2 linked regions of the Callithrix jacchus genome follow. The protein of the gene in region 1 purifies or fractionates together with the protein of each later gene. This does not show direct contact. Links are inferred from orthologs where the notes say so. Each region holds a gene or a part of one and is shown on either strand. Other genes may lie near its edges.

What was found. Proteins that work in one complex are often made in the same cells at the same time.
Region 2: the proteins of DLD (region 1) and OGDH purify together in Homo sapiens (affinity purification with mass spectrometry; 3 studies listed by BioGRID and IntAct, counting the BioPlex papers as one, with this or other methods). This does not show direct contact. The link is inferred for Callithrix jacchus from reciprocal best matches to the Homo sapiens genes DLD and OGDH.

What each region holds. Positions count from the first base shown.
Region 1 is NC_133512.1:78,371,361-78,378,448, forward strand, and holds the end of DLD (dihydrolipoyl dehydrogenase, mitochondrial), read left to right. Parts: intron 1-151; coding exon 152-342; intron 343-1,060; coding exon 1,061-1,231; intron 1,232-1,550; coding exon 1,551-1,740; intron 1,741-2,206; coding exon 2,207-2,344; intron 2,345-3,298; coding exon 3,299-3,388; intron 3,389-3,482; coding exon 3,483-3,548; 3' UTR 3,549-4,250; downstream 4,251-7,088. UniProt on the Homo sapiens protein: Lipoamide dehydrogenase is a component of the glycine cleavage system as well as an E3 component of three alpha-ketoacid dehydrogenase complexes (pyruvate-, alpha-ketoglutarate-, and branched-chain amino acid-dehydrogenase complex).
Region 2 is NC_133512.1:12,756,588-12,764,671, reverse strand, and holds part of OGDH (2-oxoglutarate dehydrogenase complex component E1), read right to left. Parts: intron 4,304-8,084; coding exon 4,149-4,303; intron 3,671-4,148; coding exon 3,524-3,670; intron 2,908-3,523; coding exon 2,817-2,907; intron 2,109-2,816; coding exon 1,929-2,108; intron 1-1,928. UniProt on the Homo sapiens protein: 2-oxoglutarate dehydrogenase (E1o) component of the 2-oxoglutarate dehydrogenase complex (OGDHC). Participates in the first step, rate limiting for the overall conversion of 2-oxoglutarate to succinyl-CoA and CO(2) catalyzed by the whole OGDHC.

The sequences.
Region 1 (7,088 bases):
ATTTAACACAGGGTTAATTTTAAACCTCAGAGCTTCTCATAGGAACATACCAGTCAAAGAAGAAAATATTTTGCAATAAAGTATTAATATGATTTAGTAAACATTTGCTATAGAAACTTTTATGTTTATTGGGGTTTTTTATTATTTGCAGGGTTCAGTTTGGCAAAGACTTGGTGCAGATGTCACAGCAGTTGAATTTTTAGGTCATGTAGGTGGAGTTGGAATTGATATGGAGATATCTAAAAACTTTCAACGCATCCTTCAGAAACAGGGGTTTAAATTTAAATTGAATACAAAGGTTACTGGTGCTACCAAGAAGTCAGATGGAAAAATTGATGTTTCGTAAGTATACATCATTTGTTTTTGATGTATCATCCCTGTCTATTTCTTTAAGCAAAATACTCAAGTTTCAAAATCAGATTAGGAAATACAGGGTATTTTCTAGCATAAGGTCATTATATTGCTTAATATAACTCAGTCGCTTATCAGATTATTGCCTTAGCACGTTGAAATTTATGATTAGGTTAATGCTATAGAAAGATTGATCCAATATTTTCATTGTTGTAATGTACCTTTCTATAGTATTTTCAGAAAAATTTAATTTCCCAATATTCAGTAAATTAAATCACCATGTTTACACAGATACATGGGGAAATCAATAATAAAAGATTGCTTACTATATGTCTGGCACTCTACTGATTAAATACTTTAATGGTATTTAACCTAATAAATTAGTTTTTAAATAAATACTTAAATAGTTAATAGTATTTAAATAGTTTAATTATTAACTTGCTTAATATCACACAGCTAGTGGGTGGCAGTCAGTACTTAAATGTGGATTTTTGTGACTCAAAGACCTATATTCTTAACTGCTGTTTTGTTAGTCTGTGATTTTTGTGAGATTTTATGATAGCTCTCTTTCATTATCTGACTCTTCGATTTACAGTCAAATAAACTTAATTGTTAAAAATGTCATCAATGCTTGAGAAATTTCTGATCTTAAATTTTTATCAATTTATGTAGGTGTGTATTTAACATTTATATACTGTTTGTTATCTAGTATTGAAGCTGCTTCTGGTGGTAAAGCTGAAGTTATCACTTGTGATGTACTCTTAGTTTGCATTGGTCGACGACCCTTTACTAAGAATTTGGGACTAGAAGAGCTGGGAATTGAACTAGATCCCAGAGGTAGAATTCCAGTCAATACCAGATTCCAATCTAAAATTCCAAAGTAAGTTGGACAGTTGTCTGCGTTTTCAGTAATTTTAAAATTGATTTCAAACAGTGTTTCGAAAAGTAAGACTTGTATGCTTAAAATATGTCTTGGCTTTGGGGAAGAATAGTAAACTTACAAAATGTAAAATCAAAAAATAATTGAAGTTTTCCTCAAAGATGAGAAGGTGAATTCATAGATTTTTGAAGAGTTGCATTTGATTTATCTTTTGGTGACTTATTTACTGGAAACTTTTACTTTTGTTACCATGATGTAACTGAAGATAAGTAGCTGTGATTTCAGAAATTCATTTTGTTTCTTTTGATTTCTGTGGTAGTATCTATGCTATTGGTGATGTAGTTGCTGGTCCAATGCTGGCTCACAAAGCAGAGGATGAAGGCATTATCTGTGTTGAAGGAATGGCTGGTGGTGCTGTGCACATTGACTACAATTGTGTGCCATCAGTGATTTATACACACCCTGAAGTTGCTTGGGTTGGCAAATCAGAAGAGCAGTTGAAAGAAGAGGTAACTCTGAACGTGGGTGGTTTTACCCTAGTGTGTGAGTTGTGCCAGTGACAATGGTGGTTGAGAAACAGCATCTTATTACATTAATATATTTCACAGCTGTGAAATATCATTGTTTAGCTTATATGTTTTTCCCTTGTTAGCATTATAAAGAGATTGTTCACAGATTTTTCAGCAGTAATTGAGAGGAGGAGAAGTTGCCTGTATTAAAAAACTAGTAATTCCAAATCTTTTATATTTGGCTTTGAAATATAACCAGATGGACAGACATTTGTATTGGCTTGCATTTGTGCCCAAGATATAGTTCATTAACTATATCTTCATTAACAAGACCTTTGGGTCTTGTATGTACTTTGTGTACAGTTGCCTTCTTGGGATTTATTTCTGATCAAATGGTAGATGATTTTACAAATTGGAATGAACTCTTCCAGCACTTACGTAGATTCTTTTTTTATGTCTCTCACAGGGTATTGAGTACAAAGTTGGGAAATTCCCATTTGCTGCTAACAGCAGAGCTAAGACAAATGCTGACACAGATGGCATGGTGAAGATCCTTGGGCAGAAATCGACCGACAGAGTACTGGGAGCACATATTCTTGGACCAGTGAGTATCGTAAAACCAGAGAAATCCATAAGATTTCTAGAAAGCATTGCTGTTTATTAATTGTAAACCACCTGTTGTTATTTGGAGGTTACTCATTTCCAGCAAAACTTTTGAATATGGCCTCTCTGTGTATCATTTCTAGAAGGATACCAGCAGCACTCTCACAGTCTTGCCCACTGTATCATCTGGTTTCTATACTGGAGCCAAGATTCTGTCTTTAAAATATACACCGGATTATGCCCCTAAAATCCTCCAGTGGTGCTTTTCAACTTCAGATTGTTACATACAGCGCCTCACTGAATCTGTTTGTGCCTACATTTCTGACCTCTTCTCTTTCTCCTCTCCTTTGCTGATTAATTCTGTGTGACATGGACCTTCTCTCATTTTCACAAGAGGCCAAATGTTTGAATTTTAGGGCCTTTGTGCTTGAGGTACCCTCTGCTTAGACTGTTGTGGCTCCACATCTTTGAATTGCTGGCTCCTTATTGTTTAGGTCTCATCTCAAATGTTACCTCCTAAGGGAAACCTTTCCTACCACTGAGGCTAAAGTATGTTATCTTTCTTGTAGATATCTCCTGTATCTGATATAACAATAAGGAGAATAGAATATTTGAGTGCTCACTGTGTCACTTTAGTATACATTTTGTTATTTTTACAACAGCTTTGTGAGATACATGCTGTTATTTTTGAGGTGAAGAAACTGAAGGAAGCACACAGAACCAGTGAATGGGTAAAGTAGTAAATGGTAGATACGAATCGAAAACCATTTGGCTCCAAAGCCCAGGTTCTTCTGTGTCACCTTTTCTGTTGTTTTTTCTGACTTTCTTTCAGCTGATACAGAAACAGATTTAAGGCGATTTTCAGATCTAAAAGCTTCCTCTCTTAACCATTGCTATCCTATTAGCATGTAGTTTTTGTCATGGAAGCAAATTTACTTGGCTTGTTATTTTAAAGGGTGCTGGAGAAATGGTAAATGAAGCTGCTCTTGCTTTGGAATATGGAGCATCCTGTGAAGATATAGCTAGAGTCTGTCATGCACATCCGGTAATTATTAACAACATAAAGAATTGATGGTTGCCTGAATTTTCTTCTAACCCACAAATACTTGGTTTTTAATTCTAAATTTCTTCCCTTGCAGACCTTATCAGAAGCTTTTAGAGAAGCAAATCTTGCTGCGTCATTTGGCAAATCAATCAACTTTTGAATTAGAAGATTATATATATTTTTTCTGAAATTTTCTGGGAGCTTTTGTAGAAGTCACATTCCTGGACAGGATATGCACACAGCTCCAAGAATTTCTAGGACTGAATTATGAAACTTTTGGAAGGTATTTAATAGGTTTGGACAGATGGAATACTCATATCTATATTTTACATATATTTAGTATTTTGTTTCAGTGCACTCATATGTAAGACAAAAAGCTACTTACTGTACCTGGAATATCTCCGTCAACTCCTATTTTCATGCTGTTCATGAAAGATTCAATGCCACTGAATTTAAGTAGTTTTTTTTTCTCTGATATAGAAAAGTTGAATTTTACACAGATGGAGCTAGAATTTGATCTTTGAACAGTTGTGTTTGAAGCAAAGTGATCAAGATATTTTTAATTTGGTTTTCATATTGGAAACAAGTCAGTCATTCAAACAAGATTCAGCTGTCTATAAACCAAATAATGTAAGTCAAAAAGGGTCTCTCACTTATTTAACCCCTAAATTCTTGCAGTTAAGGGGTAGAATTTATGTGTTTAAGAGGTTTTTAAGATTCCATTGTTGTCTATAACTCTGAAGGGTAATTATATAGTTACCCAAATTAAGAGAGTCTATTTACAGGACTCAAATATTACGTGTGGATTCAAATGTATTACAATGGGGAATGAAGATACTGAAATAAACGTCTTAAATATTCATTTATTGGTTGTTATGAGTACGTGTTGAGATGGTTGTAGTTTTTTTTTCTTTTTATGACTACCTCTAGTGTATGTTCTTATTTCTTTTGTAGGCCTGAATGTATCTTTATTTTCATGTTATGTGACAATATTAAGGTATTTTAAAGTCATTGTCCTTTCATCTATTTTAGAGACACCTAGTAAATGTTTAACATATGCTTTTGGAGAAGTACAACATAAGGGAGTCTTTAATCTGTTTTCCTTGGCTGGGTAAATGACTTTATTTAAAGAGTATTATAAAGTTGCGTCTATGGTGTTTAAAATGGCCATGTCCTGTGAAACTTAAGTAACAGAGTACTAAATGCTAAGTAGGCTTTTGCATATTATAACTAAATTTAAGAATGATATTCATTAAGTAGTTCTGAAATTTAGTATAGATAGCATAGATTGTCTAATGCTCATTATGAGTGGCGTATAGTAAACACCCTGGATTCTGTTACATACTTCTGAAGAAAATTGATTGTTGTCTTAGTAGGCAGTTAATTTGGCTGAACACCACCTCCAAACCCTGTAGGTGGTAGCAGCTGAAATCTCTTCTCAGTTGTTTTAGATTTACCTATGCTGCTGGAAGTCTTTCCGATGCAAGTGTATAGTTCAGTAGTCAACCAGAGGTTGGGCAGAAGAAAGTCTGCCCCTTCTTTTCCCTCTTATTTTTCTGGGGTTTTCCCCTTTATGTTCCAGCTGTTGTGGTCGCCCCATATTCTGTCCTCTGATCCTTATCCAATAAAACTTGGCTTTTGTTTCCCCCTCAAGTCAAAACCTATTAAAAATGAGACTTTGAGCCAGTGCTGTTCACTTTTTAAGTGCCAGCTCCTCTCTGCTTTTCACCTGTTTATAGTTGTTTTCCAGTGCCTTTACAGTTTTTTCTAAAATGTGTTTTGTTCAGAGTTTGCAGTTGCTGTCAGCAGGAGGGTTGGTCCGATATGTGCTACTTCGCCATTACTGGAAGTGAACGCTGCATCTTTTTAAAAATCTGAAATCCCAGTATCGTGTCAAGTGCTAGTTTATTTAAATCTCAACATGTCTCTTACTCAGGGAAAAATAAGTTTCTAGTTAGGGAGTAGTGAAATATAATTTAACATGGAATCCTAGCTCTAGGGACACAAAATAGTTAAATCCATATTTAAGTGTTTACATTCAATATGAGAATGAAATATATTTGGGTGGGGAATGAAGTCCTAAGAATAAAACAAGTTTTAAATGTTTACTTACTGTTGTCTACTAAGCTCTCAATATTTTCGTGGCTTGTGAAGGCAGATTATCCACTTCATTGAACTGATTAAAATTAGTAATTTCAACTGGCATGGAGCAGTGGCTTACTCCTGTAATCCCAGCAGTTTGGAAGGCTAAGGTAGGTGGATCACTTGAGGTCAGGAGTTTGAGACCAGTCTTGCCAATATGGTAAAACCCTGCTTCTACTAAAAATATAAAAATTAGCCTGGTGTGATGGTAGGTGCCTGTAATCCCAACTACTCATGAGGCTGAGACAGGAGAATCACTTGAACCCTGGAGGCTTAGGTTGCCGTAAGCCAAGATCACACCACTGCACTCCAGCCTGGGGGACAAGAGCGAAACTCCGCCTCAAAAAAAAAAAAAAATTAATTTCAAAGTGAGATCTTTAGTTGTTTAGCTGAAAAGGAATGGGGAGTGTTTCTACTATTTTAAGTAAAATACTTAATATAGTTACTGTAGTAGATGATAAGTTATGACCATTTTGCCAGTTACTAGGATTCTTTTATATATATATATAATATAATGTATATGTTATATACATTATATATGTTATATATATTATGTTAAATATATCAAATATATATATTATATATAAAATATATATAATATATATATATTATATATAAAATATATACTTTAAGTTCTGGGGTACATGTGTAGAACCTGCAGGTTTGTTACATAGGTATACGTGTGCTCTGGTGGTTTGCGATACCCATTAACCCATCACCTACATTAGGTATTTCTCCTAATGCTATTTCTCCCCTGGCCCTCCACCCCTAACAGGTCCCGGTGTGTGATGTTCCCCTCCCTGTGTCCATGTATTCTCATTGTTCAACTTCCACTTAGAGAACATGCAGTGTTTGGTTGTCTGTTCTTGTCAGTTTGCTGAGAATGATGGTTTCCAGCTTCATCCACGTCCCTGCAAAGGACATGAACTCACCCATTTTTACGGCTGCATAGTATTATGGTGTATATGTGCAACGTTTTCTTTATCCAGTCTATCATTGATGGACATTTGGTTTGGGTCCAAGTCTTTGCTCTTGTAAACAGTGCTGCAGTAAACATATGTGTGCATGTGTCTTTATAGAATGATTGATAATCCTTTGGATATATACCCAGTAATGAAATTGCTGGATCAAATGGAATTTCTATTTCTAGATCCTTGAGGAATCGCCACACTGTCTTCCACAATGGTTGAACTAATTTACACTCCCACCAACAGTGTAAAGGGTTCCTGTTTCTCTACATCCTCTCTATCTAGCATCTGCTGTTTCATGACTTTTTAATGATCACCATTCTAACAGGTGTGAGATGGTATCTCAGTGTGGTTTTGGTTTGCATTTCTCTAATGACTAGTGTTGATTAGCTTTTTCCCATGTTGGCTGCATGCATAAATGTATTCTTTTGAGAAGTGTCTGTTCATATCCTTCGCTTTCTTGATGGAATTTTTTTTATTCTTGTACATTTCTTTGTAGATTCTGGATGTTAGTCATTTGTCAGATGGGTAGACTGCAAAAAAATTTTCTCCCATTCTGTAGGTTGCCTGTTTACTTTGATGATAGTTTC
Region 2 (8,084 bases), about 66 Mb from region 1:
CTGAGAGTTACATAACACATCCTTTAGCTCCCTGAGTTCTGGATTTAACAGAAATCAAATCATGTTCTATGGGTGTCAAGAGGAGTAAGAAGAACAGGCAGACGGCTGAGCCTGCACACCCCACACTGACCCTGCTGGGGACATGTGAGGGCTTGAGACAAGGTGACGAAGAGCCTCAGAAAGGGAACTGGCGACTATCCACACTGGGGCAAGGGCAAACTTGTGACAACATGGTTTGTGTAGACTGGAAAACAAAGGGACTGACAATTCCGACTCAGCTACATGCAGCCTCTCCTGTCCTGGCATCTCATGAAGGGACCAATCAGTATGACCATCTGTGGCAGTTTAAAATATATTCTAATACTTTTATTCGAATTATTTCATTCCTTTTTGGGAAATTTCCAGCATTCTGAGCTGAATACTGCTAGAATGTATTTTTGTCCAAAATCTACAAATGCAGGAGTCACCTAAGTTTTTGGTAATCTCATTCCAATCCTCAGCCCAAATGCCTGGGTGAGTGTCCTAGCCAAGGAGGGTAGAAATACCAGAGGCACTGGTCACCCCAATGCTGGTCTCCCCCTGCCAATCTCACCTCAGGCCAGCCCATCCCAGACACCAAGTGTTGTTACTGCCTGCAGGGGCTGCAGGTTCCCCAAACAGAGCTGAGGCCTCTCTGCATCTAGTTGAAGTTTCTGACACTGTCCTGGCCCCATGAGCTTGAAGCCATGGAATGACCTCTGCGTCCCTGTGGCTCACGCTCGTTCTTTACAGCGAGCATTGATCGACGGGGGGATCACTTCCCCAGCCCAGACTCCATTACCTATGATGGCAGTTTCTCTTCCTCTAACCCTCTAAGCATGACAGTAGTAAAATTACAGAACCCAGTAAACTAATAATTGGTTCCACTTCTAATATAGATCTGACCTCTTTCCAGGGGCACAACTAGGAGGCTGGCCCCTCCCTGCTTTGTGTCCCCAAGTCACCCTGCGTCTCTGCTCTTAACCTTTCATCTCCAGAAAACATTCTTACCTTCCCACCTACCTAAATCCTGCCACTTCTCAAATAAAATGACGACTACCTGCTCTGCTGATAAGGGGGTCTGCTTTCTATCCTTGGTCCAACTCTAGCCCACACCCCTGCATACCTCTTCCAAAGCTCTTGGCGGCTAACTCCACAGTTTCCTATCATGCTCTGTATGTGCTATTTGCTTCCTTACACATGATCCTTTTTCTAAAAAGAATAGGAGGCTCTAGAAAGGTGATGATGTCTTCTTTGTTTGTTTCCCAGACCCCATATACGAGACCTTACAAATATTTGATTTTTTTCTAATTATTTAAGTCATCATTAATGAGAACTATAAAATTTGTTAGACAAGATTGGATCTTGAGGTTAAATAAGGGCAAACAGTTACAATCTGTTGAGACTATTTCTACACAAGCAGGCTGGCAAGCAACCCCCAGCACTCAGATGGTGAAGTAGGCCACCTAGGTGCAGCCTATGCCCTGGTCTGTCTCCTACCAGCCCTGTGAACTCCTGCCTCTGATCAGAGCAAGCCTGACTTTCCTGACAAGTCTCAGTTCTACAATTTCTCCTTCAGGCTAACCTGCACTTTCTCCTTAGAGACTCTCCAACTCTCCTCCTTTTCAGTGAAAACATCTCTTCGTCCATTCAGAATAACTGTAAACCTGACTCCTTCACAGATATGAAGACAAAAGCACACTCCCCACATAGTTCTGATGATTACAACTTCAGGAGAAGGCACGTTGTAAGCAGGACGATTTTACTATTGCTATTCTTTTAAAGTTGACTTTAAATTTTTTTTAAAGTCCAGATGTACCCAGGACTCTGGGTTATGTTGGTGAGCAGAACTGCGTGCTAGAACATGGGGCCTCGACGATCTGCCTTGCACGCCTCTCTCTGGGCCTTACCTTTTTCCCTTCAGTGTCCCCACAGTAAAACTGCTCAGCTTTGGTCTTGCCCATTACCACAGGGTCAGCGGCTTCAAGGTGGGAAGGGTTGGCCACCAGGGACAGGGTAATGTTCCTGTCGGTCACACGGTTGATCCTGCGGTGATACATACCCAGGTGGTACTTCACATCTCCAGAGCCCTGATGGAGTAAACAGTGAATTTGCACCCTGGACAAAAAGACACTCAGTCTCCAAAAGAGCCATTTTATATGGAATTTAAAAAAATATATACATATTTTTGAGACAGAGTTTCATTCTTGTTGCCCAGGTAGAGTGCAATGGCGCAATCTTGGCTCACCGCAACCTCCGCCTCCCAGGTTCAAGCAATTCTCCTACCTCAGTCTCCGAAGTAGCTGAGATTACAGGCATGTGCCACCATGCTGATTAATTTTGTGTTTTAGTAGAGACAGGGTTTCTCCACGTTGGTCAGGCTGGTCTGGAACTCACAACCTTAGGTGATCAGCCTGCCTCAGCCTCCCAAAGTGCTGGGATTACAGGCGTGAGCCACTGTGCCTAGCCTTATATGTGATTTCTAACCCCAGGAACCCAACGTAGAAGAATATGGAGGCTTTTTCCCAGGATCATTCCTACCCAGGGCACAGGGAGAAGGTCCCTCAGCCAGAGGGGATATACCCCTGCACTCAGCGTGGCGCTGCTAGACCTCCAACCAGAAGGTGGAACAGTGGCCCCCTCCTTTGTTCCAACACTAAAATTCTTCCAACAAGGAAGGCAAACCACAATGGTACAGAAGAATCAACCCCTCATAAGTTATTCTGAGAAAGAAGTGGAGCCGGGGGTCTCGTGTAAGTTGGGGCTCTGCTGGATGTGTCTCTACACAGGTGCCTCACCTCATCAGCTGCCTCCAGCTTTGAATCAAATTGACAGAAGATCTGTTCCAGCTCCTTCCTGATGACATTTGCAAGCACGTTAAGCCGCCCTCTGAAACGTATGGGCGAGTAGAGTGAGCAGAGCCCGAGGTCACGGCTTCCAGATGACGGGGAGGCTGTTATAATCCCTACCCTCTTCCCCTCCTCCAGGACACAGCACCTCCTCGGTTTGCAGCCCAAGAATGCTGTGAACTGGAGCTAATGTGGGCACTGAGCCTCTCTGTGCTAGACAATCAAGGCCACAGTGGACAACAGAAAGGCAGAAGATGTGGAAATGCCATGGGCCTGAGGCTTCCTTACCCTCCTCCCTCCCCACACTATCTCCGATTTTTGAAGTCTTGGCCTCCCCTCCAATGTCAGGAAGCAGCCTTTCCTCCAGCTTAACCCTCAAGGGAACCTGGGTTTAACTTTCATAAAAATGTAATGTAAGGCCAAATGCCAGTCTGAAACTACACGTGGCTCTGGCTGTGACAGTGACTTTGCAGTCTTCCAGAGGTAGGGAATGTGAGAATCCCCTGCAAAACAAGGCACCCGCAGGTATCAGATGAGCCCAGGCTCACAACTGGCACTTGAGAAGGAAACAGCTGTTCTCTCAGTTCTTTACCTGGTGCCTCCTACACACCCTGCAGGGATGGTGAGAAGGAGGTGGGGCACGCCCTCAGCCATACCTGTGTGGCATGCCCATGATCACGTAGTCCACACCGTTCTCACTTGACTTGTCAATGATGGTCTTGAGGGCAGGAATCAGCACCTCACAGCCTTCTAGACCAAAGCGCTTCTCAGAGGACCACTTCCGCTGTAGGAACTCCTCAAACCTGGACATGGAATAAAGTCACCTTGAAGAACAATGTCACTCTTCCTGACCAAAAAGAGGGGGCTCTGGGCCAGGCACAGTGGCTCACTGCACTTTGGGAGTAATGCTAGCACTTTGGGAGGCCAAGGTGGACAGATCACATGAGGTCAGGAATTTGAGACCAGCCTGGCCAACATAGAGAAACCTGATCTCTACTTAAATGGATAAAAATTAGCTGGCCGTAGTGGCATGTGCCTACAATCACTGCTACTGGGAGGCTGAGGCAAGAGAATCGCTTGAACTCAGGAGACGGAGGTTGCTCTGAAGGCTGACTCTACCTGCCTGGTGTCTCTTCAGACACGTGCAGCTGCAGCTTTGCCTATACCTCCCCAAAGCCCCTCTCACCTCGACCAACAGGCTGCACACAGGCCCAAACAACACACACAGGGCTGCTGCTTCCCTGGGGATGTGTGCCCCATGGCCCAGGGCCAGACCCATACCTGGTGGACCGCACAAGCCTGGCCAGCAGGGTCCGCTTCTCCTCATTTGTGAACTGCATGATCCCGGGGGTCTCAAACTTCTGCCGGATCCACTGGCACTGCTCCAGGTCATTGATGAACATGAACTCCACCCCAATGTGCTGGCAGTAGGCCATCTATTCCATACAGAAACACACAGGCAAGGGAGTTTCTAACCAGGCCTGGCTGAATCAAGAGTACCGACTGCCTGTTCAGCCAGAAGGTGGGAGGGGGAGCAGGAGGCTTGTTCTGAAAGGTACCCCAGTCAGGTATGACTGAGGGGGAGACGGAGTGGGTACCAGGCAGAGGTCCTCCTCTTCAAGTGCTTCCTTCAGGGACCTGGGTCACTTGCACACAAGAACCTCCTAGCCCTCCAAGGGCCAGGACAAGGAACAACCCCAGTTCTACTCTGGTACCTTTGTGGCAAGAAGCATAGACCGCAACAGTTGTGGAACTGTGTCCTTCCCCAGGGAGGACAGACTGTCATCAAGGTCAGACCTGTGCCAGCATCCATAACAGGAAATGCCCATAGGCTGTCATAGGCTCAATAGCTGTTTACGATTCGCAGTCTTTTTGTTTGTTTGTTTGTTTGAGGGAGGGTCTCTCTGTCACTGAGGCAGGAGTGCAGTAGCGCTATCTGGGCCCAATGCAGCCTCAACCTCTTGCACTCAAGTGATCGTCCCGCCTTATGTTTTGGAGAGATGAGGTCTCACCATGATGCCCAGGCTGGTCTTGAACTCCTCGGCTAAAATGATCCTTCTGCCTCAGGAAGCAAGACTGCCCATAAGACAAAAGTCAGGATCCTGAGCAGATCAAGATGTCCTGCACCATGTTCATACCCCACAGCTCAGGCAAGGAGGCAGCACCCAATCTGCAGAGCTCAGGAGGGAAGAAGCCAGGAAGAGAGGGCCAGGAGCAAGAGGAGGCACTGGGCTCTTAGAAATCCACCTCGGGAGAGGAGGAAAGACTGCCAAAAAAAAAAAAAAAAATCCATCTCAGGCTGCCCTCAGCCTGGTGCTCCTGTAGAGGCCCACAGCTCAACCTGCACAGCTGCCCTAGAGGACCAGAATGAAAGGATGAGAGCAAACTGCAAGTCAGCATGGAGTAAAAAGGCGACAGGCCCTGATGTGGGCCAACAGACACTCTGCAGACCCCAAAGCCGCGTCTAACTATCTTTATAGCAGGGACTGCTGCCAGCGTACTCAGAGTGTCAGGTCCTGCTCAGCAGCTCTCGTTTATGACCACATTTGGTTTTCACAACAGACAATGAGACCAGCTGGCATGAGCAGTTAAAAGATGTGCTGAATCTGAGACCAGCCCTGTGCTTTGCAGAGGGTGGGCTAACCCTGCATACATGCTCCATGATCATGAAACAAAGCAAACTTTGCCTGAATTCAAAATTAACCAACTGCAACACTCTAGTTATTATCCAAGTCAACAAAAGAACAATCTTGCCTAGAAACTAGAAGAGAAAGTGCTGCTAGAAAAGACCCTAGTAGGCCGGGCGCGGTGGCTCAAGCCTGTAATCCCAGCACTTTGGGAGGCCGAGGCGGGTGGATCACAAGGTCAAGAGATCAAGACCATCCTGGTCAACATGTGAAACCCCGTCTCTACTAAAAGTACAAAAAATTAGCTGGGCATGGTGGCGTGTGCGTGTAATCCCAGCTACTCGGGAGGCTGAGGCAGGAGAATTGCCTGAACCCAGGAGGTGGAGGTTGCAGTGAGCCAAGATTGCGCCATTGCACTCCAACCTGGGTAACAAGAGCGAAACTCCGTCTCAAAAAAAAAGAAAAGACCCTAGTAGTTAAGGTATTTTTATTAACCCCTGTTTGTCCCCCCACAAACCTCATGCTGAAATTTGGTCCCCAATGTTGGAAGTGGGCCCACATGGATGATGTTTTGGTTCTGGGGTGGATCCCTCATGAATACATTAATGCCCTCCTTCAGAGGTGAGTAAGTTTTTGCTCTATTAGTTCCTAGGAGAGCTGGCTGCTAAAAAGAGCCTGGCACCTCCCGGCTCACTCTCTTGCTTCCCCTCCCACCATGTGACCTCTGCACAAGCAGGCTCCCCTTTGCCTTCTGCTGGGAGTGGAAGTAGCCTGAGGCCCTCACCAAATGCAGATGCCCAATTAGACTGTGAGCCAAATAAACCCTTTTTCTTTATAAACTATAAATTATCCAACCTCAGGTATTCCTTTATAGCAATACAAAATGGACTAAGACAATCCCAAACCATATTTTCTAATCACATCTAAGATAAAACTAAGATAAACTTCTACATTAGATGCACAAAAAAACCAAGAAGAGGGTGTAGTGGGCACCCCCAATCCCTAACTTCAGAGTTGACATCAGTCCACTGTCCCATGTCACCTTTACAGACACTTGGTGATCCACAGTGCCCAATCTACTGAACAGGAGAAGAAACTACATTTCTGCAGAAACCCATTCAAGAAGACAAGGTCAGCTCCAGAGTGGCTGTTAATGAGAACCTTCAAAGAGGACCCACCCTCTTTGGATGGGGTCCATGCTTGTGGTGCAAACCCAGCAACTGGCTGTCTGCCCACTCCTCATCATCCCGACCCCAAATGCCAACGGGTGAAGGGTGCTGTGAGGGAAGAACTCTTCCCTTCATCACTACTGCTGTCTCCAATTACAGAGCTGGTAGAACTGTGCTACGCCCAGGCTCTGCCCATGCCTTTCCTCTCCCTTTTACACCTGACAGCAGCAGAGTTTCCATTATTGAACAAAAGAAACTATTGGGTTAAAAACTCTAGAAATCAGTATCTCTCCAACATCAGTATTACTTTAGCAAGTAACTTGGAGATGTAGTTACTGGGCCACAGAATCGTGTTGTGTTTTCTTTGTTCTTGGCTCTGTCTCCAGGAGAAAAGGGCAGCAAGTTTCAGGGGCTGATTCTTTGCTTTTCCCGCTTATGAGAAAAATTTTAGGAAGCCAAGAAGTTGAATCTCCTCTAATTTTTAAAAACAGCTACAAATTGACCACCATGTCACATGATCAACAGCTTAAGATCTGTCTGATTATACCACCAATCTAACATACACACACATTCAATGTAAGTAAAGCATCACCATCAGGCAGGGAGATGAGGAGTTTATGCAAATGTCTGTAAACTGTTGTGGAAATGGAGTCTTCCAAGTTGGGGCCACTCTGAGGCCAGGAGGGTGTATGGCCTGAGACTCCTAAGGTACAGGTCCAACTGTCCCAGACAATGAGAGCCAACTCCAGGGCTCTGGCATCAAGTGGACTGAAAGGGAGACAGGCCTTCAACATGCTTCAGGCCCTCCACCCCTTCATATGATGAAATCGGAACTACCTGGGATTCAAGATTCAGAGAGGAAGTTGGCCATAGGGACATCAATGCCTCTGCCCCTCATTCTGCTCTTTGAGAAGGAAGGTACTGAAGAGGCCCCCGAGAGGTGACACCATGGCATGATATGGAGACAGTGACCCCATGGAAACTTTCCATTGTGAGACCATGTTTAAGAATAAGCTTCTGGGGCCAGGCATAGTGGCTCATGCCTGTAATCCCTGCACTTTGAGAGGCTGAGGAAAGAGGATCACTTGAGTCCAGGAGTTCAAGACTAGCCTGGGCAACATGGTGAGATCCCGGCTTTACAAAAAATAGAAAAATTAGCCAGGCATGGTAGTGCTCTCCTATAGTCCCAGCTACTCGGGAGGCTTAGGTAGGGGGACTGCTTTATACCAGGAGGTTGAGACTTCAGTGAGCCGTGATTGTGTCACTGCGCTCCAGCCTGGGCAACAGAGAGTGAGAACCGGTCTTAAAAAAAAAAAAAAAAAGGCTGAGCTGCCTGCTGCTGGACTCCCCACAAGAGGACCCCTCTGAGGTAAAAGGTGCTAATGCTGAGTCCGCTCGCAGTGCAGACTATATTCACCAGA